4 linked regions of the Arabidopsis thaliana genome follow. The main gene of each other region encodes a partner of the protein of the gene in region 3 in a complex. Each region holds a gene or a part of one and is shown on either strand. Other genes may lie near its edges.

Region 1 (5,597 bases), on a different chromosome or scaffold from region 3:
GTACAGTAAGAAACAAACTTAAAATTGATACCAAACAACTAGAAACAAGAGACAGGTGCAGAAGAGAAGAGAATCTTTCATTTACATTCCAACTGATCTAGTCCTATTCTCAATGAAAAAAAAAACTCGTTATGAAGAAGACATGTACAAGAATCCAATTAGAAAGAAGACTTCAGTCTGCAAAAAAGGATAAAAACCAGTGTGCAAGTATAACCTTATTCTCACATAATGAAAAGAAAAGAAATCGTCATGAAGAAGACTACCTACAAGTATCCAATTAGTAAGGAGACTTCAGTCTACGACAAAAGATAAAACCAGTATACTTTCTTAAGGCTACACATAATGCTCGATTTTGAATATTCCCGAGAGGCTCCAAAGACCTTGAAAGCAAGAAAGGAAAGGGCGGAAAAAACAGTTGAAGAAAAAACTACTCACATGCTTTCAAGATTGATAAACTCTTCCTTTACTAGCAAGGCTGTAAGCTTATAGAGCCCAACTGGAACAGGGCTATTCACCTCTAGTCTCTGATAGTATTGGAATTTAAATCCAAGAATTTGTGAAGCATGAGACTGCACATGAAAATTATTTTTTTTAGCAAAAAATAGTCTCTTGAGCTAAGCATTAGAAGATAAAAATACGAGGAAGACATTCCAAACCTTGGGAAAGATAGGAATTAGATTGAGAAATGTGTCGTAATCTTGTTCGAGTTCAAAGCAATCTAAAACCTATTCATCAAAAACAAAGGGTACATTATTACTAATCGGGAAGGACAGATTGATGCGTTATGCAATATCAAACAAAAATATGACAGAAGCAACAGTGAAAACTTACAATGTCGAAAACACGGTTTGGATCCAGGTCAAAATGCCCAATTAATGACTGCAAGAAAATATAAAGTTCAGAAAAAGTAAATGGGCGAAATATAATGTATTGGCCGAATCAAAACCTTGATAATTCCCATCGTTGCTGCTGATGCATTGTGCGAAGAACTTGCAGATCCTCGGCACAAAAGAGTGGCCTGCACTCCACAAAAAGGAACTGCTATAAGTTGGTGTATGTATAATCTGACTTAATCGAATCTCTACTGAGATAATATGTTCATTACTCTGCACAGTTATAGGTAATAAAACTAGCAGAAGATATGCCTTCCAACTGGAACCGTGTGAAAAGGAAAGGCCAAATCAGCATTGTTGAAAAGATCATCCCTTCCAAAAACTAAAGGGGTATTCCTTAAAGTTGTGTTTCAGAAAAAACAGAAGTAAAGAGTATCTAAGAAAAGACAATAGAAACGAAGTGGACAGAAAGAATGACAATAGATAAAAAAAAAAAAAAAAAAAAAAACTAGACTGCTAGAGATCTTCTATAACGAACCAATTTGGCATATCCCTCGCTTTCTTCACGGAGTAAGTTGAACTTTGTCTGCTGGTACAGAAGACGAGTGTTTAATCGCACCTGAGAAGCATCAACCAGAATTGTTACTTATAAACAATGAGCAGTAGTTACACAGGTAAAGTAGAAATTCTTATAAGCATTAATCTTTCGCAATAGCAATTCACTCAGAGTAACTATTACGTAAATCAGAGCACAGTGCAGCTGCATTGATGACTAAAGTGTGAAGTCATATTAATACAGCAGTTACAGAAGTGTGAAGTCCTCACCTCTTTCCCCTTCAAATCTTGGGCCTTTATTTTAACCATATCAGCTTCCCAGAGAAACTCCTCCTAAAATAAAATAAATAAAACGCCTTCAGAAAATTTTCTTCTTACTGATCAAGAAAATAGAGAGGTTAAGTGGGTGGGGTACAAACTACTCAAATTGGGAATAATAACAAACATTTTAGGACTTGCCCGCTCCTATCCTTTACATCTACAGCAAGAAGAAGAGGGCTATTCCGTGAGACCAGCTGGTCCACTGGATCTTTGAGGACAATTCTTCAGTCTTAAGGGATTAATGTGACATTCGAAACAGGCTACAGCCTTGAAGTTAACTTCTATAACTACCTTAGCAGCTACAATAACTATTATTTAGCAGTCTCTATCTATCACTCCAGACTTGTTCAAGCTACGGTTTCTATGATGGGCAGTAGGATTGCATGATGCACATGCTATATAGATGAGGGGTACCAGTGAGGGAGTTATCGAGAACTAGTGAAAGGTGGAAGGGGGGATAAGAGGGGACTCTATTAAGAAACCTCTCAAAGCTGTATTTTCTTGTTTTAAGTTCTATTAATATAAAGATTCTCTACGTATTACTCTGTTTCATTGGCTGAACGTAACATAATGTTTACCTCGCAACGCTCTTGGAAAAGCCTTTGAGGGACTGTCTGTGATTCCACAAGCCATTTCGCCTACCAAAAAAGAACAATTGGTTCATTAGCTGTGAGCATAGAAACCTTGAGGAGATGGTAAATGAGAACAGAAAGAATATTTTAAGGAAGAAACTAAAGTACGCAATCATCAAATTCAATAAAATAAGACATATGCTAACAACTCCTCTGTAAGCAGCTCATCAGAGAACATTGGATCAAGCATACAAGGAAAATTCAATACCAAACTACGCTAATAGATCATCTAAGGCACTATGGTCAAAGTTTCAGCTCCTTAGGATGAAGTAGCCTTTTACAATCAGGAACTTTCTTGCAACCTGCCCAGGATGAGCCATCGGTTGGTTGAACCTTAGGACACTACTGATAGCTATACACCACATGCCTAATCTATTCATAGGATGTTACTTTTTGTGATCACTAATATCTAAAGAGCTAGAATTATCTTTCCTCAAGACTAACAAATCCAAACAATGATCAATTTTCAAAACGTAAAATAAATTCTAGCACTCACCAATTTGATTAGACGAGAACGTTGATCTCCCGACATGGTAAGCTGCAAAACAAAGCAAAGAGAACACGAACCCAATCAATCCAACGATCAGTATCAATAACCTTGCACAATCATCTCTGAGCTAAGGATGTCAAAACTGTAATTGGACTTACGTCTTGAGCTATCTGAGTCACAACATCCGCAAAACACGAAGCTAATTCTTCTCTCGATGGCTTATCCAAAAACTCCACACCTTCCAACACTGCCTTACAGCTCTGAATTGGCAATTCGCCACGAACCTAATAATCCATCACGAGGCACCGTTGAGGAACTCGAACAACATATACGCGTGATTGGATAGTAGTAGGAAGAGAAGGTGGTGTTTGTGTGTATACCAAAATCCAAGAGAGCTCGTAGAGGAAACGAAGCATCGGCACAGAGCTGGGCAGCTTGGTTCCATAGTTGCCATTCTTACCTTCACGAACAAACTCCTCCGTCACGTACTTACACTCCAGTAGCGGAAGAGACATCTTAAACCCCTTTCGTGTGTATGTATGTATATCTTTCACTCTCCTCCCTTTTCGAAACCCTAGAAGATTAAGAAAATAGGGTTTAGACTTCGATTGGCGACCAGAAAATAAGCATTCCGATAAGATGAAAAGGGAGAGGAACGAACAATTTTGATCAGAGAAGAAAAAGAGAAATTAGGGTTTTTGAGAGATTATTTGATTTGGTGGAAGTAAATTGAAGACGATGATGATGACGGTGTGAAGATGATGCAAATATGTTTTTGATTTTGCAGAAGAGGGGACTATTCTTTTCCTTTTTCTACTACTTACCGATTTTGTTTTTCTGTCGTCTTTTGTTTCAGCAAATTATGTTGTATACAATTTCAATACAAAACCGGGTCCGGTTAAGTCGTATGATTTTGTTTTGAATGGGCGTGAAACTATGAATTGGTTGTTATTGAACAAGCCCATGGGCTCAGATGATCTTTGAGTCCACCACGATACTACTAACAAGGCAATTAGGCAAATATCGAATTAAAAATGTTAATTACATCTTTTGGTCCTAACAGATATAAACAAATAGAAAGCAACGAGTACAAGTACTAGCTAGTAACATACCAAATTAACTAAAATATGGAAACCAAAACCTAAAAAATTTCTCAGCGTTCTTCGCTCCATTCCCGTTTTCAACCAGAATCGTTAACTACTCGGGACAAAAAAACGATCAAAGAAAGTCAGAAAAGATCCATAAGCAATTGAAAAGTTGATCCAACTTACAGTCATCTTCTCCTTCTTCTCCTCCTCGTCCTCCTTTGCTCAAGAAACAACAACAAAAGAAAACGGGTCGGTTTGACCAACGTTATTCGAAAGCTATTTGTTTTAGGTCTGGCCTGTTTATAAACTCATTATGTTAAAATCTAATCCGCTAAAAGTCATTTATAGTTAAACTTAATGTGCCTGTATTGGCGCGAGGGCTGCTGTTATTTTGTTATGTTCAAATCAGTGCTTCCAAATTGCCTCGTCTAGAATTAAAGAATATGCTTAGAAGAATTTTTGTTATATATTAAACATTTTGGTTTTTGTTAGGTTTTTTGGATCACTTATAATTTGTAATGTTGAATTCATTTGTTTTTTTTTATTAGTCAACCAGACTTTCCGACATTATCTATTATTAACTACATGTTTGTGTTTCAGTTTAACTAATTTATTAAGGCCATAGGAAAATCGTCAAATACTAACCACACGAAATAACTATAGATACTGTACTTTGGTGTCATTAAATTCAAATTGGAGTTTCATATTACCCGAAAAATGAATCGTTTTATAATTTTTATGTTAGTTGTTGCGACGTATTTTGGATTGCTTGTATCAGTTTTGTCTTGTAAACGTAACACAATTGAAATTATGAATGATCTTGGTCCCGGTTTGGTTCTCTAGTATCATCGTCATTCAAAAGACGACAATTTAGACGTCGCAAATTTACAATTCAAGGAACTAAAACAAATCCGTTTCGGAGACATGTTTGGAAGAAGGACAAGATGGACTTGTCTTTTGAAACACGGCTTATACATGCGATATTATAAAGATTTTGTAGCATATAGAGCAGCCAACATTGATCGATGTGATGCTCTACGTCGTTAGATTGCTAGAAATGATGGAATTTACCTTGTGAGAAATAGAAATCCTCAACCAAAGTTCCATCATGCATGGAATAAAACTAAGTAATGTTGATGAAAATACTATTTTTGTTGTCTTTACAATTTACGTCAACATTCTTCGTAACCTAAAAAAAAAAAAAAATCTTCATAACCTAGGGTTATAATTTATAGCAAATCAAATATGTATCCATTATATGGAAAACGAATACAAACTACTTTTCCGATCCAGACAAACAGACAGTGTGTCGTCTTTTTTAATTTTTTTGTATTAAATCTGATTAGAAATCAAACAGTATAATTATGTTAAGTGCAAGAGACAAAACCGTGTCTGTTTTAGCCCAACAGTGTCACCCGAAACAAATCCATTCCTAGGAATATAGAAAGAAAATTAAAACAAACAAAGAACAATTTAGAAAAGACACCAATTAACACACAACACAAAGACAAATCATAATTAGGATGCTTCCATAAGATAGAGAATTAGGAAACAAGAAACGTCCTCTTTAAGACAACTGTTCTTCCCTAGCTCCGAACTCCTCGATCATCATGTTCTTGTTCATTTTCGCGTGGATCTTGGAACAGTTTGCAAGGCTTGAGCAAGCATGAATTAGGTC
Region 2 (6,927 bases), on a different chromosome or scaffold from region 3:
ATCAATGAAACCCGAGTTGGAGGATGATGATGAGTTTATTTTGTTCATCATGTTTTGTTTTCGTATATTTTTGACCAAATAAGCTATTTATTAGACATCTTATTCTTAAACCCATTTGATAATGTCCTAAAGATCGAATTCTCATGGTCTAGGGGAAAATCCAAAACTTATTTTTATTGGAGCCAGAAAATACTACTATTAAATATTATTATTTTGGCTTTAGAAAACAATGTCATACTAATCTCAACCATAAAACTATAAAATTATATTATAGGCTCAATAATTGCTGCTAAATTTTTTCACTATTGATTCATTTGCAATATACAAAAATAACTCCTATAATAAATCAAAAAAATTCAGTGTTGATTCATTTGCAACAAAACACGAAAAATTTCACTGTCTTTTGTGGTTGGCTTTGTTCTTCCTGGGACATGGGAGTGAATTTAGCAAATCGTGGTTCCTCTTAGGTCTTCGTTCATGCCTTTGATTTTGCTTTGTCTTTTTGATATGTAAAAATTTACGTTTGACAGTTTTCCTGTAATTTAGGGATTCGCTTCCTTCTTTTGGATTAAGTTTTTGGGATGTATTTATTTTCCGCCCGCTCTTGTAATTCAAACTTGCATATTTCCTTGGTAATTGTACTTAAATAAGATGACAAAAAAACTAAAAGTTAAAGTAAATCAAACTATATAATCACTTGAAAGTTATAAACTAATATCCAATTTGATTTGGTTTTGTTTTCTTCACTACCTCCAATTGCAGGAACAACATTTGTCAATGATTGCAGTAGCAACCTGTAATAACGGTTGTCTACGAGTTGATTCCTTTTTTTTTCTCCAAAACCTGTGACGAGCCCTTTTTCACTTTTCTAGTTTCCAAGCTACCCGCTAGGCTTTAATGCTTAAATCGAGACCAAAACAGAGCAGGCTAAAACGGATTGGACTTGAAACATTGCCAGGTTTAAAACAGACCAGGTCCTCACCCAACAAGTAGGCTGTTTCAATAACGGTTTATACGATAAAAAAATGTTACATGCAAAAACTTTTGCTTGTACCACCAGAGAAAGATAATATAGAGAAGTGAGTGGCGATGTAATCTCTAGCATGGATAACCCGATGCACATCCTCTGCCCTTCCATGAGATCATTTTCCGGTGATCTCTGCCTCTGAATGATCTCACAAGAAGCTTACCGTCAACAGGCTTGCACAAACCGACATCAACCACAGTTGTGGCTGTTCCTCTTTTGGAATCTGGAGATGGGTCATCCACGTAATAGTCGAACAACATTGCTAAGCATCTGATTTGATGAGATAGGAGATAGTTTTCTTGATCTGAAGGAATAATCTTCAACATATGAAGGTTCACCTGATACCGCCACGAAAAGGTTACAAAGGCGTTATCTTTGGTGTCATCGAGTAAAGATTAGTATATGTTACTGGGTTTGACACTTACTTCTGCTTCCATTGCTCGAAGTTCATTGTAATGGTCACTTTCATTTGTCCCATTTTCATTTCCTGATGAAGAAGATGCGTGGAGAGACAGAGAAAACAAAGGAGGTCGAAGAGGATACTCCATGCTAATTTGTACCTGCCAATACAACTCGATTTAACACTTAAGAAAGAAAAAGATATAGGGAAGATACCGTATTAGAAGATAGTGTTTTAGAAGTTACCATTGCTTCTAACTTCCACAACTTTCCGCCATCTGTTTTCCTGGAGAACACAAGCGCAAACTCTCTCGAACCATAATCCACCCATGAATTATCAGCTTTCTCAGGGCATAACTCTTCCACATGCGCCTCAGTTCTTCCGGTTGGCTCATCTATTTCACTATCATCGTCCAGAACAAGATCCAAATCATCTTCGTATTTCTTGAAACTTGGGGACTTTCCTTTGCTAATCGGAGAATCTAGATTCTTTGTCATCAAGGCCAACTGCCTTGACCGTGCTTGATTAGATACTTTCGATGGGGTATGATTGGAACTGGTTAACGAAGCAGCCGCCGTGACCAAAGAGGGAAGTTCTCCATCTTCCCGTATACTTTCAAAATCTTCTTTTCCAGAAATAGATCTTCCATCTACATCGATTTCCATAGGTTCTGGAACTTGTTCCACACTGTTCAGAGTCAGAGAGCATGACTTACTAGCTGAAGATTGTATATGTAACCAGGAATCCAAAGCACAGAGAACCTTATGCAGTGCCCAAGGAGCATCTTCGCAGTTCACCACTGGTAACTCATGTTTCATAAGCAAATCAAGCTGTTCCCTGTAGCCAGTAGAAGTTTCCAAAGTATTCAGCAAAAATAAACATATCAACAGAAATAATTACCTATAGAAGCTCTTATCACGAAGTTGACAATGCTACAGAGGGATTAAATTGACCGCCAAGTTATTGACAAACCCAAACTATTAAATGTACAAACCATATGCTGATTATCATGGTGGTCTACTAATTTTCTGGAATTCTTTGCATCGTGTTCTTTAATTAAGACGGAAAACATACAGAGTGGTGAACTCACGCAAGAGCCAGATGCGCTTTTTTCCGCAAGCGTATTCTTCGCAGAACTGTTTGCACTCTATGCTGCTGGCGATACAATGAAAGATCAGGCACAAACGTATCACTTTTAGCTGGGTCAGTGTTATGAGCTTCTTGGCCTAATAAAACCGGTGAAATATCAATTCCCGCCAAATGTTGTACCCATTTATAAGGCCTTGAAGTTCTGTTCTCATCAAACGTCTGACCATCACCAAGGATGAGCTTGGTTGACTGCATGGAAAACCGGCCATATAAAGAGAATTGAGTATGCATTTTTAAAAGTAAAGCCATCAAAAGTCACATGTAGAAGAAAACTGAAACACAGAAACAAAAAGTTACCTGATGAGGAGGCTCAAGTCCAGCGTCATCTGGAAACAAGTTACAAAATATGTTTTTTTCTGGTCCATCCTGAGAGCCTTCAGCGCCAACACATACAACATTCAACTTCAGCAAGTACTCAAACTTGAGAATGACAAGTTTCAAGGATTTTGTATCTGGTATCTCATCATCATATATGTGAAGGACAATTTTGAGAGGGTGGACTTGATATAATCCTGCCTTGTCAGAACCTTCTTTGCTAGTAAGTTTCTTGGGTCGTTTTCTTCTCCTTTGTCCATCATCATCGTCATCAGGTCCATCATCCTCCAACCTAGAACTCTCTGTATTACTCGACATACCTGAAAAACCAATACCAAATTAGCATTCTTTTCGTTTTAGTATTAGAAAACACAGTAAATTTTCAAAACAACTTACCTGAGTCCTTTCTGGATTGTTGTCTAGCATAAGCTTGAGCATCCTTAAGACTCCCAACTACCTCCAATTCAATACTCTCCTCAAAAGCTTCCTTTTGTGCCAAGAGCTGTGAGTATAGAACATAAAGCGGAGGAGGAAGCAGCTCAGCTAAATTATGCTGCTTCAGTTTCTTTGTGTGCTGTATACCCAAGTGGTTCTGTACTGGAAGCGATGCTTTCTTCAGAGACTTAAGGTGTAGAGGAAGACTCGACAAAAACTTCTTACGCTCCGCAATGGTTTCTAATAAACTCTTCTTCTGTTGCTCCAATCTCGCTCGATGCTTACACAATTCTTTCCTCTGAATCAAAAAACATAAAAAGGTAATGAAACATTATATCACGTTGAATGAATTTCAGAGATGGTGATGATTAACCAACCTGATGAAGCTCAAAATTGAGTCTCTTAGGCATCAAAACATGAGAACTATCACTTGAAAGCGATTGATCTTTGATAGCTTCAGGAGCATGACGAAAGAAGTCTTGTTCAGGAACAAGGTCAATATCAGGATACTTAGATTTGAAATCTCTACAAGCCTTGATAGCTTTAACGTAATGGCTCTTCTCATACATAAGATTATGCAATTGCAATGTCGTGAAATCAACAGGTGCCTTTGCTCTTTCCGTCTCCGCTTTCACTTTATCTTCCTCAGTCAAAATCGCCCGATTCGCCTGCGAAAAAAACCCTAATAAGTATCGTATAGCGAAAGAGGTGGAGGGAGAAGATTGGTAAGTACCTGACGAAGATTGACGAAGTTGAGGAACATTTGAGTGAGGAGTTCTCGAATCTCAGATTTGTGGTTTCCTTGTTTTTTCATGGAGAGCATCTTCGCGACGATTTCTTCTACGGAGGTTTTGCTCTCTCGAAGTAGCTCGAGTGGAGATTTTCCTGGCTCTCGGGGAGGTTGTATAGTCTCTATGGTAGTTACTTCCGGCGTCGGGAATTCGTCGGCAGTTACCATTCCTTCCTCTATTTCGCCGTCCTCCATTCTCGATTTCTCCAGTCAGGCTCGCTCCGGTACTTCTGACAGGATTTATGATTTTTCTCTTCTTCTTTTTTTTTGTTCTTTGTTTTTTTGTCAAACTATTTATGATTTTTATGTAAACTATATTTTGTTACAAATATTATATCTACTCCATGATGGGATGATAATTGCGTAAAAGAGATTATGTAACATTTTTTTTCAGAAAATTCTGTATAAAGACAAGAAAAAATTTGGTTTGATATCAAAAATATTATGTAAAAAACACCAAAAAGGAAACTACTTGATAATTTTGGTGAAGGAAGAGAGAGACATATCAGATATGTCGTGGTAGAACAGAGGTTTGATCAATCAAATAGCCTTCTATGGTACGGAAATTTTATTGAGTTGTAGCTAAGCCTTATAACTAGATTTACCACTTTGCGGATTTGGATTTGAGTTAATATTCTAAAAGTTATCTGTGTTTTCGTAAAGTCCTCTGTTTCAGACGTGATTTAGACCAGAGTGTATTAAACAAATTATCTCGAGTGCACCTGCGGTCAGATCATCACTAAACTTTGAGGTTAGCTTCAGGACATCTTGAGGGTTGAGTTTCAACGGTGGAGATTTGAATTGGACGGTTAGATTGCGATTCGTGACTCAATATTTGAGACCAATTGTTTGGGTTATTTTCAGATTTTTTCCAATTTAGGTTAAAGGTTGGTTTGCTGTTGTAGTTGGATGTATGGTGAGTTGAGATATTGTTGGTGAGTAGGAAGTTACTGCTCGTTGTGGGATTGTTGTTTTTGGTTTCAAAATCATTCTTGTTTCGAGGTGGGTATGTGACCATGAGATTATCTAAGCAATTGAGATTGTGTGATTTATTTGTTGTATGTATAGGCAGTATTTTTGGTACCATTATTCAATCCCCCGAGATGGTTGTGTCAATGGATGATTGTTCATTGGTTTGATTTATTTCATGATTTATTTGTTGATTGTTATATTGGTTTGCTTGTGTGTATAACTCGCAGGTAAGAGAATCGTTTCACTAAGTATTTATTGAAATATTTATGCATTTCTTTTCTTGATGCAGATAAAGATAAAGTGAGACGTAGAATCATTGCGAGAAAGAAAGGATGATCTAAGGCCAAAATAAGAAAATAACACCTACATCACCGAAACGAGACCCTAGAAAAGCTAAACACATCAACTTTTCAAAAGAATTTATGACTTCGTCAAAATTTAATCAAGATGCGAGTCAGGTAAGTCACCTAAAAGAGTAACATTGATGTACTCATTAGGGAAGTGAGCAGGTAATCCAGGAATCAACAATGCAACAACCCTAAAACACCTTAAGAACCATCCTTCTCTGAACTCTCCACCTTTCCAATAAGGCATGACGAAACTACGTATCAACTCCCACAGTGCATTCATTATCTTTGGTAAAACCCATACGAGATTAAAGTAGTTTTTGTTTGGTTCCTCTTCCTCTACCTGAACATAATACAAATTAAACAACAACAATGTAGATAGATATCATCAGTAGGGTAAGTGCGTAAGCGACATTAGACGGATGAGTGATTAAAGCAAAGAAACAAGATTGTCATATATATGCAACCAACCTTTCCTTTATAGAAACTGTCATAGTAAAGGCATGCCCCAAAGTGTTTAAACATGAGTGTTTTGTCGTCGAAAGGCAACCTAGGAACCATGTCGTTGCAATAAACATATCTTTCATACTTCACGTCAAACTTCTTTAGTGAATCTTTCATGAAATTTCCAAACTCCTCGTCGCCTACGCGTGGCTGTCCAAATGTGTAAACTCCTTCTAGTCTCTCTAGCATTTGCTCCTCATCATGCATCACCAAAACAGCCGTGAATAGGATCGCTAAAGCCCCACCTAGGCTATGTCCGGTCAATATAAATTTAGATGTCGGGTTTTGGTCGAGGATTTCTTTTAAGTGACGCCTAACAGTGTAGTATGCATATAGAGTTGTTGCGTTTTGGGTTTCGTCAAGGTTTACTTCTTTAGGCCATCCTTCTTTTTGAAGGCCCAAAGCTTTCATGAACCCGCCATGAATCTTTCCCACATTCTTAACCTCGTACCTATTTTGGAAATCAATACTAGTTTTATTAGGGGGGCTAAAGGATGAACTTAAAGAGTATAAAAACAAAAACCTAGACTGTTTGTGTGTGGAAATAAATTATAACAAAAGAAACTAAAATTACCAAGAGAGATCCAGGTCTGTACACCAATCATCGGCATCGAAAGGATCAGTGCCTCTGAAACTAACGATGATGAGGTTTGGATCTGTACTTGTGTCCTTTATAACAATCACCTCCGTTGATCTTTGTTTCTGGTAACCTAAAAACCAAGGAAGAAAAAATAAATTAATTTTTTTTGTTTATATAATATAAATAGAAAAATGAATTTGATCTTAAAACTGTATATGAAAAAAATGAAAAAAAAAACTGTATATGAAGTATTTTAGGAAAATTTAAATTCTAGAGAATTTGAGGTTATTGTCTCTAAAAATTTTAAATATTTTAGCACACATAGACAACTATTTAAAAGATACAAACATAAAATTTCTAGTCGTAATTTTATGTTTAATTTAGAGGCAAAAAGGTAAGAGAATTTAA
Region 3 (4,675 bases):
CATGAACTTTTAAGGTTGTTTTGTTATTGGAAATATTCAATATACTTGGAAATACTTCATGAACTTCTAGTTCCAAGTCTTCATGAACTAGACTTTGAACGATCCTCGTGTAAATTAAATTCTGTGAGAAAGAAAATCCATGATTTAGCAGATAATACTACAGTATTTGACAACAACAACAACAAAATGTTGATAAGTAAGAAAATAAAGCTCGAAGATTTGTAACTATTCATGATTTTAGAAAATCGGAATAATGAATAGTGTACTTATTTGGACACTGAATAAGAAGTTACACAAGTCCCGATTGAAATTTAATTTACTAATGATCGTTACAAAATTATTTGTCTCTTTGTCATCAATCCTGTTAGTGAATATTAGAATTATTATTCATTGTAAACAAATAGGATCATCCAGATTGAGAAGTAAATAATTTTATGTATGTTACAAATGAAATAATTAATTGATCGTAAAACCTCTCTGACCTTATATATATCGAGTCTCACTATTCAACTTTTTCATTGCACTTGTCGTACAAAGGAGTAAACATTGATATGGGAAAGGTATGTGCATTCCTGTCTTTGGTAATTCCAGTAATTTGTTAAGTAAATTATGTGAACTTATATTTTGTGTTTTGGATTTGGTTCTAAAGAACAAGCAAAATGGAGAATCAGACAACAAGTCTGAAAAGAAGAACCAGAAAAATGGAGATTCATCAGTCGATAAGTCTGATAAGAAAAATCAATGTAAAGAAATTGTTCTGAAGGTTTACATGCACTGTGAAGGATGTGCATCACAAGTTTCTCATTGCTTGAGGGGCTATGATGGTAATACTCTATTAAAAGAAACATTATTAGATTACTTTCCCTCTTTAATGGAATCATATATATATGGTCTCGATCATAAGAATCAATGTCAAATATTTAATCATTTATCATTGAGTGAAATTGTACTATAATTTAACTTAAGCATTATCTAGTCTGGTTTCAGTTTTATTTTTCTTTCCTGTAATCTAGAGAAGTTGTCTATTAATTCCCACAATGACATAACGAATAGTAATCTCTAGTTCTTAAAGCATCAATTAAAAAATAGGATTACCGTTTTTTTCTTCTTACTCATGACTCATAAGTAGCTATTATCTTATTTGTCTTATAGGGGTTGAGCATATTAAGACAGAGATAGGAGACAATAAAGTTGTTGTGTCTGGAAAATTTGATGATCCGTTGAAGATATTACGAAGAGTGCAAAAGAAATTTAGTAGAAATGCTGAGATGATTTCCCCAAAACATAACCCTAAACAAGATCAGAAGGAGCCACAGCAAAAGAAAGAAGTAAGTTATTTCCAATTATTTCGTGTTAGAACTTAGATATATACTCTCATTTATATCATACCTTGTCTAATTAATCTGAGAATAACAACTAACATATCTAATCATTTCTAAATATTTTTTGCATGATTTTAGAGTGCTCCCGAGATCAAAACTGCAATTTTAAGAATGAACATGCACTGTGAAGGATGTGTTCATGAAATCAAAAGAGGCATTGAAAAAATAAAAGGTAATCTTTGTATATACATATAGAAATAATACGATATCGAAAGTTAAAAAAAACAACTTAGAATATGTTTGTTTGTTTTGACAAATTAAAAGGCATTCAATCGGTGGAACCAGACCGGTCAAAGTCAACGGTAGTGGTACGAGGAGTCATGGATCCTCCAAAACTTGTGGAGAAAATCAAGAAAAAACTTGGGAAACATGCAGAGCTTCTAAGTCAAATTACAGAGAAAGGCAAAGACAATAATAAGAAGAACAATAATAAGAAGGAAGAAAGTGATGGAAACAAAATCTTTAGTTACCCTCCTCAGTATTCATCTCAACATGCTTATCCCTCTCAGATTTTTAGCGACGAAAATGTACATTCTTGTTCAATCATGTGATTTTTTGACCCGTAAAATTAGAGTCTTTTTAAGTTATCTTTTATGGTTTTGATTTCCTTGCTACACATTTCTATATCTCAATAGATTTTAATTTAATTTAATTTTTGAGTGACACTTTATGAAAGTAAGATTTGGTGTCATGTGTATACTCGATTACTAGATTATGTTTGTAGTTGTGGGCCTTTTGTACAATTATTTGTAAAAAAAAATTAACAGGGCATTAGAGTATAAAAAAAAAGAATGTGGGTATATATTATATTTTAATAACTTAGGGTCTATTTTGTAATATAATATAAGTTGAGAGTACTTGTTGCATTTAACCCAAAAAGAAAAAGACAAGGGAGGACGAAGATGAATTGTCTCAATTTTTAGGGTTCATCAAAATTTGAACAAAAGGGACCTGTTTTGCTCAATTTTTGATAGCAGAAGACGAATCTGGATCTGGGGTCACTTCAAGTAAGTAAAGAGTTAACCTTTTGCTTTTTTTTGTACCATAAATTGTGTTCGAATGGTACGATTGAGAAATTGCTTACGAATCAATGAAATAACAGTTAAGATTTTGATGATGAATGCTCATGAAAATCTATTTAAGTTTGATTGAGAAATTGAAGAAGAGAATAAGAAATCGAGAGATTTATTGCGTAAATGGTAATACTTTATGTTTCAGTTCTGCTATTTAGATCCAAGCTTGAATATGTATCCCTTAGCTTTATTTCTGTAGGTTAAGATTGTTTGGTTGTTGAATGTTCTTTGTTTGTGCATTGCCTTTGCAGGATTGAATTAAGAGGTTTTTAAGTAAGTTGAGATGTCAGTTAAAGCAAGGAGAATTTCTGGTAGATTAGAGACTGTAGTAACTAAGGTTAATTATGCATTTGATCCTGTTGACGATGACAAAATCATAAGAAACCGGCTTCTAACCCGAACCACGACCACTCGAGGCGAGCCTCCATTGAAGAAACTTCAGAAGAAGTTCACTTCTTTTGTACTCGAGGTGGATAAAGAAGAAGAGAACTATAACGACTGCGGTAGACTTGCCAAAGCTTTTTTACAGGAACTGTCAACTTTCGAGATTCCGCTTCTGAAGAGCCAAGCGGTTGTGGAAGCAAACCTTAGGGAGAAAGAGAGCTTTAATGAGGTGAAAGATGAGACGGAAAGGCAGATAATGCAGGCGAAAGCTGAGATTGAAGATCTAAAGAAGCAGCTTGAGGAGAGTAAAATAGATAGACAGCATAAAGAAGAGTGTGAGACGATAAGGAAACTGATTTCTGCGCAACCGCCAAGGTCAGAGACAGAGAAGGTTATATATGAATTGAACAAGGAGATTGCTGAGCTTGAAGCAGAGAGCACTGCAAGTTGGAGATTGCTTGAGCTAAGGAAGAAGCAGTTTGCTCTCCTGATGCATGTGGTAATGTCAAAAAACCGAACCTTTTACGTTTCAGTCTTCATTACGTGATCTATGTTTGAAGTTTGAGTTTGTGATTGTGAACGTTTTTGGGAATGTAGGTGGATGAGTTGCAGAACACAATGGAAGATGAGCAGAAGAGTTTGGTGGACGAGATTCGGTCAGCGTCGGAAGATCAGAGGAACATAACCGACGCTATGTCTGTTGATTAAGTCCAAATCTCGATAAAACCTGCATCATGTTTCAAGCGTTTGCTTTGTCATCTGTTTCCTGTTTCTGATATGCCTATGTTAACCAAAACTGCGGCAGCTCAGTATACTGAAACCTGTGATTCGGATAGAAGAACTGAGAAACAAAGATTGTTTCTTTCAAATTTGCAGATGCAAGAAAGATTGTATCATTGTAAAATGCAGATGTTTAAGAAATTATGGTTTGTATAACCGGTTAAGAAATACCAATTTCTTGGTAATGTACTTTTTTACTCCAAACCGAGGCTGAACTGTTGATTCAATTAAACCGAGGTGGTTTACTATAAATTAATTACGTCGTGACGGGTTTGCTTTTGAACCGGCTTAGAAATTAGAAATTAAACAGTGTTCCGCTTTTGACTTGGTTCGATAGGTTTGGGTTGCCCGATCATATTTATGGTTTTGCATTTGAGGTTTTTGTGTGTTTTAGATGTAGTCTAATTTGCCCCCAAAAAAAAAAAATGTAGTCTAATTTTGGTTGGTGCGGTTTCTATTTTCGGTGTCGAGAATAATTTTTACAAGTGTGATTGCATAATGAATATTTCATGCAAATCGATATCCACAAGCAAAGCTTAATGTTGATTTTTGGCAATATTTAATTATTAATAAAAAATAATAATGCGACCGACTAGCCAAATAGGCTTTATTGTCGTAATTGTAGGTTTCTATTTTCTTGAGAAATATTTGAGCAGCATTAGTGTTCGTATGTTAACACACGTTTCTCCGTTATTTTACTTGAGTCTCTCCTGTCTTAATCTTAAACACTAAAAATTAACTTTGAGTGTTTAATTTACACTAGAAATTCTAATGTTATCTTTTTGCTTTGACTCTAAAGACTAAAGTTATACTTTAGATTAGACATACGAATATATTCCAAAAATATTCCACCTTACCATTAAAAGAAGGTGGCATCTTTTGAGAAAATGTGATCCACTGATGATGCAATGTGTCTATTTTAAACTGAATCAAACAGAAAAGCAAAGTATTTAACTATATAAATTTTGTTTGATTAACTCGGATAGAAATCCAGTGATTCCGAACTTAAGCCAAACTCAATTTAACTTCGAATTGTTTCTCATGAGAGCATCTTTG
Region 4 (5,729 bases), on a different chromosome or scaffold from region 3:
CCCGGAGATGATGGAACAGATCTCTGCAAATGATCAACCAACAAAATTAGAAGCAAGATCAACCTTTAAGCATAAGCACATGAATACTGCAACTTCTTGCCCTGGAACTTCATTCAATGAGAGTGGTCACTGTATCAAGGCATTTCAACCTGTAGCTGTTATATCCTAATAATATGCATACAGTGACCACAGATATATGAGAAAATTATAGCATTAATTTCAATCCTACTCGTGAGGATAGTGGAGTATCTAATTAGTGTTGATCTAAGGTATGAACATACAAACATTACGGATATGAAGTGTTAGCCTACCTGTCATGATAAACTAGGACTAAAAGCAGTCAAATATGTTATGTCAGTATTATAACTTAAGTCAATAAAACTTCTATTGCAGTAGTATGAATTAGAGAGTTATGTTAATGGTTAGTAGTCATACTTCTGATGGAAACTGGGAGGCCCATCCATTCATGTCAGCTCTTGCATTCTGAAATATCCCTCCAGAAGCCAGAGGGCTAGGGTGGTCAAGCCCACTCTGACTTAAAACTGTAGCATTCTCCAACAGTGTGGTTACACGCAAAATTTCTGTTCCAAAAATGTCAATTTGCAAGAGTAAGACGCACCAGTTAGAATTAGTCAACAAATCAGTCACCAAGACACCAATGAATGGAGAGACAGCATAGTTAATTGAGTTAGCTTAAAATATATTTTTGCTCTCACTCTAGTTAAATACACTCTGGTTAAATAGAATGAAGTCAGTATAAGAAATATAGAATTAGTCATTTCGTGATCTACTTCTAATAGCTAACAATTAGGTCTCTCTTAGCAGTACTGTTTAAGAGTTTATCAACTGTATTATAGCTTCATGAATCTGAAGCAAAGAATGAAGTATTATGTGAGATGAAAATACAAATAATAAACAACAAAAACAGTAATGCTCACCTTGGTTTAGTAGCCGAAATGCATGTGGAAGCACAGGCAGGAATGGAGTAAGCTTATGACGCTCTGCAAGTAACTCTGAAAGATACCTGCCAAAACAGAAATTGTGCAGAGTATCCAAATTAGTAAAAAAGCCTCAAAGACACATCAAACTTACAAACAGATACACTCAAATTCACTCTAAATCGATACAACCAGATTCAAATTTCCATTCTTTTGTGAAGTGGATCTAGTCAATCTTCCAAAAATCGTATTTTTTTTAACAGTTTCATCAGCCAAGAACAGAAATCAACAATAACAGAAACGAACACAACCAATGAAATGATCCTCACACACTAAAGACTTATGCTTTACAAAAAATGAACTGGATTGAGACAAATCTGAAATAGACTGAGCTAGTTCCGAAACATAGATCCTAATATAATCAAAAGAAAACAAAAAAGACAAAAATCCAGATTCGAGATACACTATTAAGATCTAAAAATCAAAATCAGCAAAGCAAAGATCAACATACTTCATCAGATACATCAGCTAATTATAAAAGATCACCAAACAATAAAAAACAAAAATATAAAAGAAGATGAAAAACTAAGATTCGATTACTTCTCTTGCTCAACGAAGACAGAAGACTGTGATCGGAGACCACCGGAGTAATTAGGAGACTGAGGAGCAGAAGGAGGCACCGAAAGAGACGACGAATACGTCATAAACCTCCCTCCGCCGCCACCACCAATACCACCACCACTTCCTCCTCCTCCACCACCACCACCACCAAGCGACGACATCATCATCATCTCGAAGACAACAGAATCAGAGTAAATCTGTCGGAGATTAGAAGAAGAAGAAGAAGCGGCGGAGGCAGAACCAAAGCTGTTGTTGTCTCTCTATAACGTCGGTGGATTTAAGAGGTCATTTTATAGAGACTGTGAAATGATTACTTGTTGTTTGCTTAGCTGTTTTTTTTTTCACCTTTTTTCTTTGTTTCATATTTTACCCAATTTTACCGCTCTTCTTGTTAGTTTCTCTCTGAAGACTCTTAACCATCTAGAAGGTTTTTTACATCCGGTTTACTAAAATTCGATTCGGTTTATCTATACCGGAATGACTAAACGCTGCGTTTCAGGAAGCGAAGCTCTGATATTCAGTAGGCCGCGAAGGAAGGTTGAAGAAGAAGAGTTGAGAATTAAAAAATGGAGGAGACGACGATTCCTTTCAAGAGCTTACATAGCAGAGAATATCAAGGTCATAAGAAGAAGGTTTTTTTTTTCTATCTCCAGTCTAATTTTCTGTACTCAATAAAACTTGCGAAACCCTAGTTTTTTGCTGAATCTGGGGGAATTTTTGGATTGAAGGTACATTCAGTAGCTTGGAATTCGAATGGAACAAAGCTTGCTTCGGGTTCTGTTGATCAAACGGCTCGCATTTGGAATATCGAACCACACGGTCATGTAATTTCTTTACCTTTTTGAGCTATGGGAACTTCTATGTGTTTTTGATGATGATGAATACATATGGAGAAGTATTGTAGATTGAGTTAAAACTCGATTATTATCTTTGTCATTGTTACTTTTTGAGTTATGTAGTTTTTGTAATTTGGTTGTTTGTGTGGTGTGTGGATACAGAGCAAGGCTAAGGACCTTGAGCTAAAGGGTCATACTGATAGTGTGGATCAGCTATGTTGGGATCCCAAACATTCAGATCTTGTTGCTACTGCCTCTGGTGATAAAAGCGTTCGTCTTTGGGATGCTCGCAGTAAGTTATATTCTTTTAATCGTTTAGTTTTGCTCCTGAAATATGCCTGGAGCTTGGTTTAGAAATCTGTATATTTTCTAATGGATTAGCTATGTGTCATTCACAAATATTTCTCGCAATCTTGGCCTTTGCTTTTGAGTCATATCGCGGAGACTATTGATTGATGAGGATCGGATCTAAGTTTCTTAGAATTATAAATTAGTTATTTAGCCAGATTCCATAAGAGAGGAATTTGATCAGGTTTTTGATATGTGGCTACTATTGTATGTTTTACTATCAATTGCTGAGATATGTCTTCTTCGAGTTCTACAGGTGGAAAATGCACACAGCAGGTAGAACTTAGTGGAGAGAATATAAACATCACCTACAAACCTGACGGGACACATGTAGCTGTTGGTAATAGGGTATTGTCTCGAGCCCCATATCTTTACACTTTCATTGTTCTTACTGTCTATGGATTACTTGATAGATCCCTTTTCATAGTCGTTGTCCTTTCTCTTACTGGCCAATGTAGGATGATGAGCTTACAATTCTGGATGTCCGTAAGTTTAAACCTCTACACAGGCGCAAATTCAATTATGAGGTAACGTAAGCTCAGACTCATGTTAATCTTTATTAATGGCTTTTTTTTTATAAGGCTCTTCCGTATCTCCTGTTTCAAGCTCATGCGGTTATATGTCACCTAAGTTCCTTGTTCATGTAATAATCGTCAAGTAATTTTCTGGTGCCGTATGGAATGTTCTCTTATCTTTTGTCTTCTTGTAACAGGTTAATGAGATTGCTTGGAACATGCCTGGAGATTTTTTCTTCTTGACTACTGGACTTGGTGAGGATTTTAAATTCTGTACTTTCCTGCACACGATTCCCTACCAAAGATTTCTTTGTTTTTGAACTTGAGAAAATGATCTTACTGAAAGTTACTTTGTATGTTGTCCTGCTCAGGCACTGTTGAAGTTCTTTCATATCCATCTCTTAAACCACTTGACACTCTCACAGCCCACACAGCCGGGTGTTATTGTATTGCAATTGATCCTAAAGGGAGGTAATATATATTTACATTTGTGGGCTGGCCTCTGAGACACGAATGATAATCTTTTTGCTTTTGCATCTAATTCTTCCTCTTTACCTTAACAGATATTTTGCTGTCGGGAGTGCGGATTCCTTAGTAAGCCTTTGGGATATCTCAGACATGCTTTGTTTGAGAACATTTACCAAACTTGAGTGAGTATCAACATGAATTTTCCATAGAGTAGAAAAAGGTTTAATTTCTGTTACATGTTAGTAATTTATAACTATTTCTCACAGGTGGCCAGTCAGAACAATAAGCTTCAACTATTCGGGAGAGTATATTGCTTCAGCCAGTGAAGATTTATTCATTGATATTGTAAGTGATTGCCCAGACTTAAACACTGCTAATTTCAATGTAGTTTCCTCAATATGAGATTAGTTCCTCGTATCTGACCACTAACTACCAAACAGGCTAATGTCCAAACCGGGCGGACGGTGCATCAGATTCCATGTCGGGCAGCCATGAACAGTGTTGAGTGGAATCCCAAATACAATTTACTTGCATATGCAGGTGATGACAAGAATCCCAAGTATAATACTGATGAAGGTACTACCGCGTATTAGTACTTCATTGTTAGCAACAACTCAAAACTCTAATATTGGTAGCAGAAAATGAACAATGACAACAACTTGGATCTCTTTGCAGGTGTTTTCCGGATATTTGGTTTTGAGAGCTCGTAGGAACAGAGCACTGAATCGGGAAACATGATACACAACTCCACTTGATTGTTCCTTGTTGAGTTAGAAAAAGTTTATGTGCCTAGTGTACCTAAATATGTATTGTCAGTATATCAAGTTGGAATAATCTTACAGTATCACTAAATACATTGAAAGTTTGCAGTTCTGAATCTGGCATTTTATTTATTGCAAAAATTTGTTACTATACAAGCAATGTTGTTTATTATTAACGAAGAATGAAATTAATAAGATCAAGATCAGAATTCTAATCCCGAATTACATCAATTTTCTACTATGTGTGAGTACTGCTAAAAGTTACAGGTTGTTCTTATTCCCTCCGGCGAATCTTCAGTCTGGGAGATTTGACAGCTACTCTCTCAAAGCTAGAACAGAGGCCAATGGTAAGATCGGACCAAAAGCATCATCCCCACAATGAAGGTTGAAGAAAGAATGCAGAGTCCTGAGAAAGAAAACACATTTATTACTGAGAGTCCAATTTTGGATTAAAGAACAAGAAGAGCACACGATTTGCTTACCGAACAAACAGTGAATAGGAAGAGTTTGTCAAAATCCGCAGAGGATGAACTTTGAGACCGGGAAGAACAACCCTGCAGAGCAAAGAAGAACAATAGTTATCAAATACTGAGAGAACCAAGTAACAGGTTTCCACTTGATCTCAACGCTTGAACTCTTCATCCTCTTCCCACTCATCGGCTCTTTCGACAAATCAAAGCTCGACCCTTTCATCCTCAACTCCAAAACACACCGTGTAAGCGTTCTATTATCATTCCTCTCCCTATTAACACCTCTGTAAACTTTCCAGAACACAAACAGCTTAGCTTGAACAAGAAACACCAGAACCAATGAAGTAGCTAATGACACTGCAGAAGGTATCCACCATTTCTTGCAAACCGCATTACTTTTCACCACGTCAGCATCATCAGAACAAGAAGAAGAGTAGACAAGTGTGAAGAAGAACCCATGGAAGACTAGGAAGAAACAACAAAGCTGAAAGATCTCTCTTTTGATTGACTCTAGTCTTGATTCTTTAAGAAGAACACGACGACAGAACAAATCTTCTTCTCTTTGCCATAACTTCAAAAGCAACAAATGTCCTGGACTCTCTGAGATTTCAGACAACGGATGCTGCTGAATCACTTTGAGTATTCCCATTCCCGGATTTGAGACCGCAACCAACTGTTGTTGTTGTTGTCTCTCTTTATGCTCTTCATCTACTGGAATCTCCACTACATGAGAATCTTTAGTTCCGGCCATAGAGAAAAAAAAGATTGAGAC

The links.
Region 1: THO7 (region 3) and THO2 share a complex: the UniProt entries of both Arabidopsis thaliana proteins name them as parts of the THO complex.
Region 2: THO7 (region 3) and THO5 share a complex: the UniProt entries of both Arabidopsis thaliana proteins name them as parts of the THO complex.
Region 4: THO7 (region 3) and TEX1 share a complex: the UniProt entries of both Arabidopsis thaliana proteins name them as parts of the THO complex.

What each region holds. Positions count from the first base shown.
Region 1 is NC_003070.9:8,739,959-8,745,555, reverse strand, and holds the start of THO2 (THO2), read right to left. Parts: upstream 3,617-5,597; 5' UTR 3,493-3,616; exon of another isoform or gene 3,406-3,492; 5' UTR 3,347-3,405; coding exon 3,212-3,346; exon of another isoform or gene 3,116-3,211; coding exon 2,990-3,115; intron 2,880-2,989; coding exon 2,838-2,879; intron 2,348-2,837; coding exon 2,288-2,347; intron 1,722-2,287; coding exon 1,659-1,721; intron 1,453-1,658; coding exon 1,372-1,452; intron 1,319-1,371; exon of another isoform or gene 1,106-1,318; intron 1,019-1,105; coding exon 947-1,018; intron 880-946; coding exon 832-879; intron 726-831; coding exon 657-725; intron 570-656; coding exon 436-569; intron 1-435. UniProt on the Arabidopsis thaliana protein: Acts as a component of the THO subcomplex of the TREX complex which is thought to couple mRNA transcription, processing and nuclear export.
Region 2 is NC_003076.8:17,205,212-17,212,138, forward strand, and holds THO5 (THO complex, subunit 5), read right to left. Parts: upstream 4,440-6,927; 5' UTR 4,312-4,439; coding exon 4,060-4,311; exon of another isoform or gene 3,995-4,059; coding exon 3,704-3,994; intron 3,625-3,703; coding exon 3,288-3,624; intron 3,212-3,287; coding exon 2,874-3,211; intron 2,766-2,873; coding exon 2,518-2,765; intron 2,265-2,517; coding exon 1,673-2,264; intron 1,588-1,672; coding exon 1,453-1,587; intron 1,366-1,452; coding exon 1,099-1,365; 3' UTR 760-1,098; downstream 1-759. Other genes in the region: AT5G42930 (alpha/beta-Hydrolases superfamily protein), read right to left, coding at 5,527-5,778, 5,907-6,390, 6,514-6,649. UniProt on the Arabidopsis thaliana protein: Acts as a component of the THO subcomplex of the TREX complex which is thought to couple mRNA transcription, processing and nuclear export.
Region 3 is NC_003074.8:664,503-669,177, reverse strand, and holds THO7 (Tho complex subunit 7/Mft1p), read left to right. Parts: upstream 1-2,255; 5' UTR 2,256-2,389; exon of another isoform or gene 2,390-2,581; intron 2,582-2,706; 5' UTR 2,707-2,738; coding exon 2,739-3,338; intron 3,339-3,436; coding exon 3,437-3,547; 3' UTR 3,548-3,955; downstream 3,956-4,675. Other genes in the region: AT3G02975 (uncharacterized protein), read right to left, coding at 1-3; AT3G02960 (Heavy metal transport/detoxification superfamily protein), read left to right, coding at 552-560, 650-824, 1,153-1,328, 1,461-1,554, 1,647-1,933. UniProt on the Arabidopsis thaliana protein: Acts as a component of the THO subcomplex of the TREX complex which is thought to couple mRNA transcription, processing and nuclear export.
Region 4 is NC_003076.8:22,721,462-22,727,190, reverse strand, and holds TEX1 (Transducin/WD40 repeat-like superfamily protein), read left to right. Parts: upstream 1-2,091; 5' UTR 2,092-2,125; coding exon 2,126-2,191; intron 2,192-2,287; coding exon 2,288-2,383; intron 2,384-2,557; coding exon 2,558-2,687; intron 2,688-2,999; coding exon 3,000-3,091; intron 3,092-3,201; coding exon 3,202-3,270; intron 3,271-3,455; coding exon 3,456-3,513; intron 3,514-3,629; coding exon 3,630-3,729; intron 3,730-3,821; coding exon 3,822-3,908; intron 3,909-3,992; coding exon 3,993-4,071; intron 4,072-4,166; coding exon 4,167-4,302; intron 4,303-4,401; coding exon 4,402-4,436; 3' UTR 4,437-4,709; downstream 4,710-5,729. Other genes in the region: AT5G56140 (RNA-binding KH domain-containing protein), read right to left, coding at 1-23, 436-581, 939-1,024, 1,539-1,729; AT5G56120 (RNA polymerase II elongation factor), read right to left, coding at 4,998-5,708. UniProt on the Arabidopsis thaliana protein: Acts as a component of the THO subcomplex of the TREX complex which is thought to couple mRNA transcription, processing and nuclear export. Contributes to the integrity of the endogenous trans-acting small interfering RNA (ta-siRNA) pathway.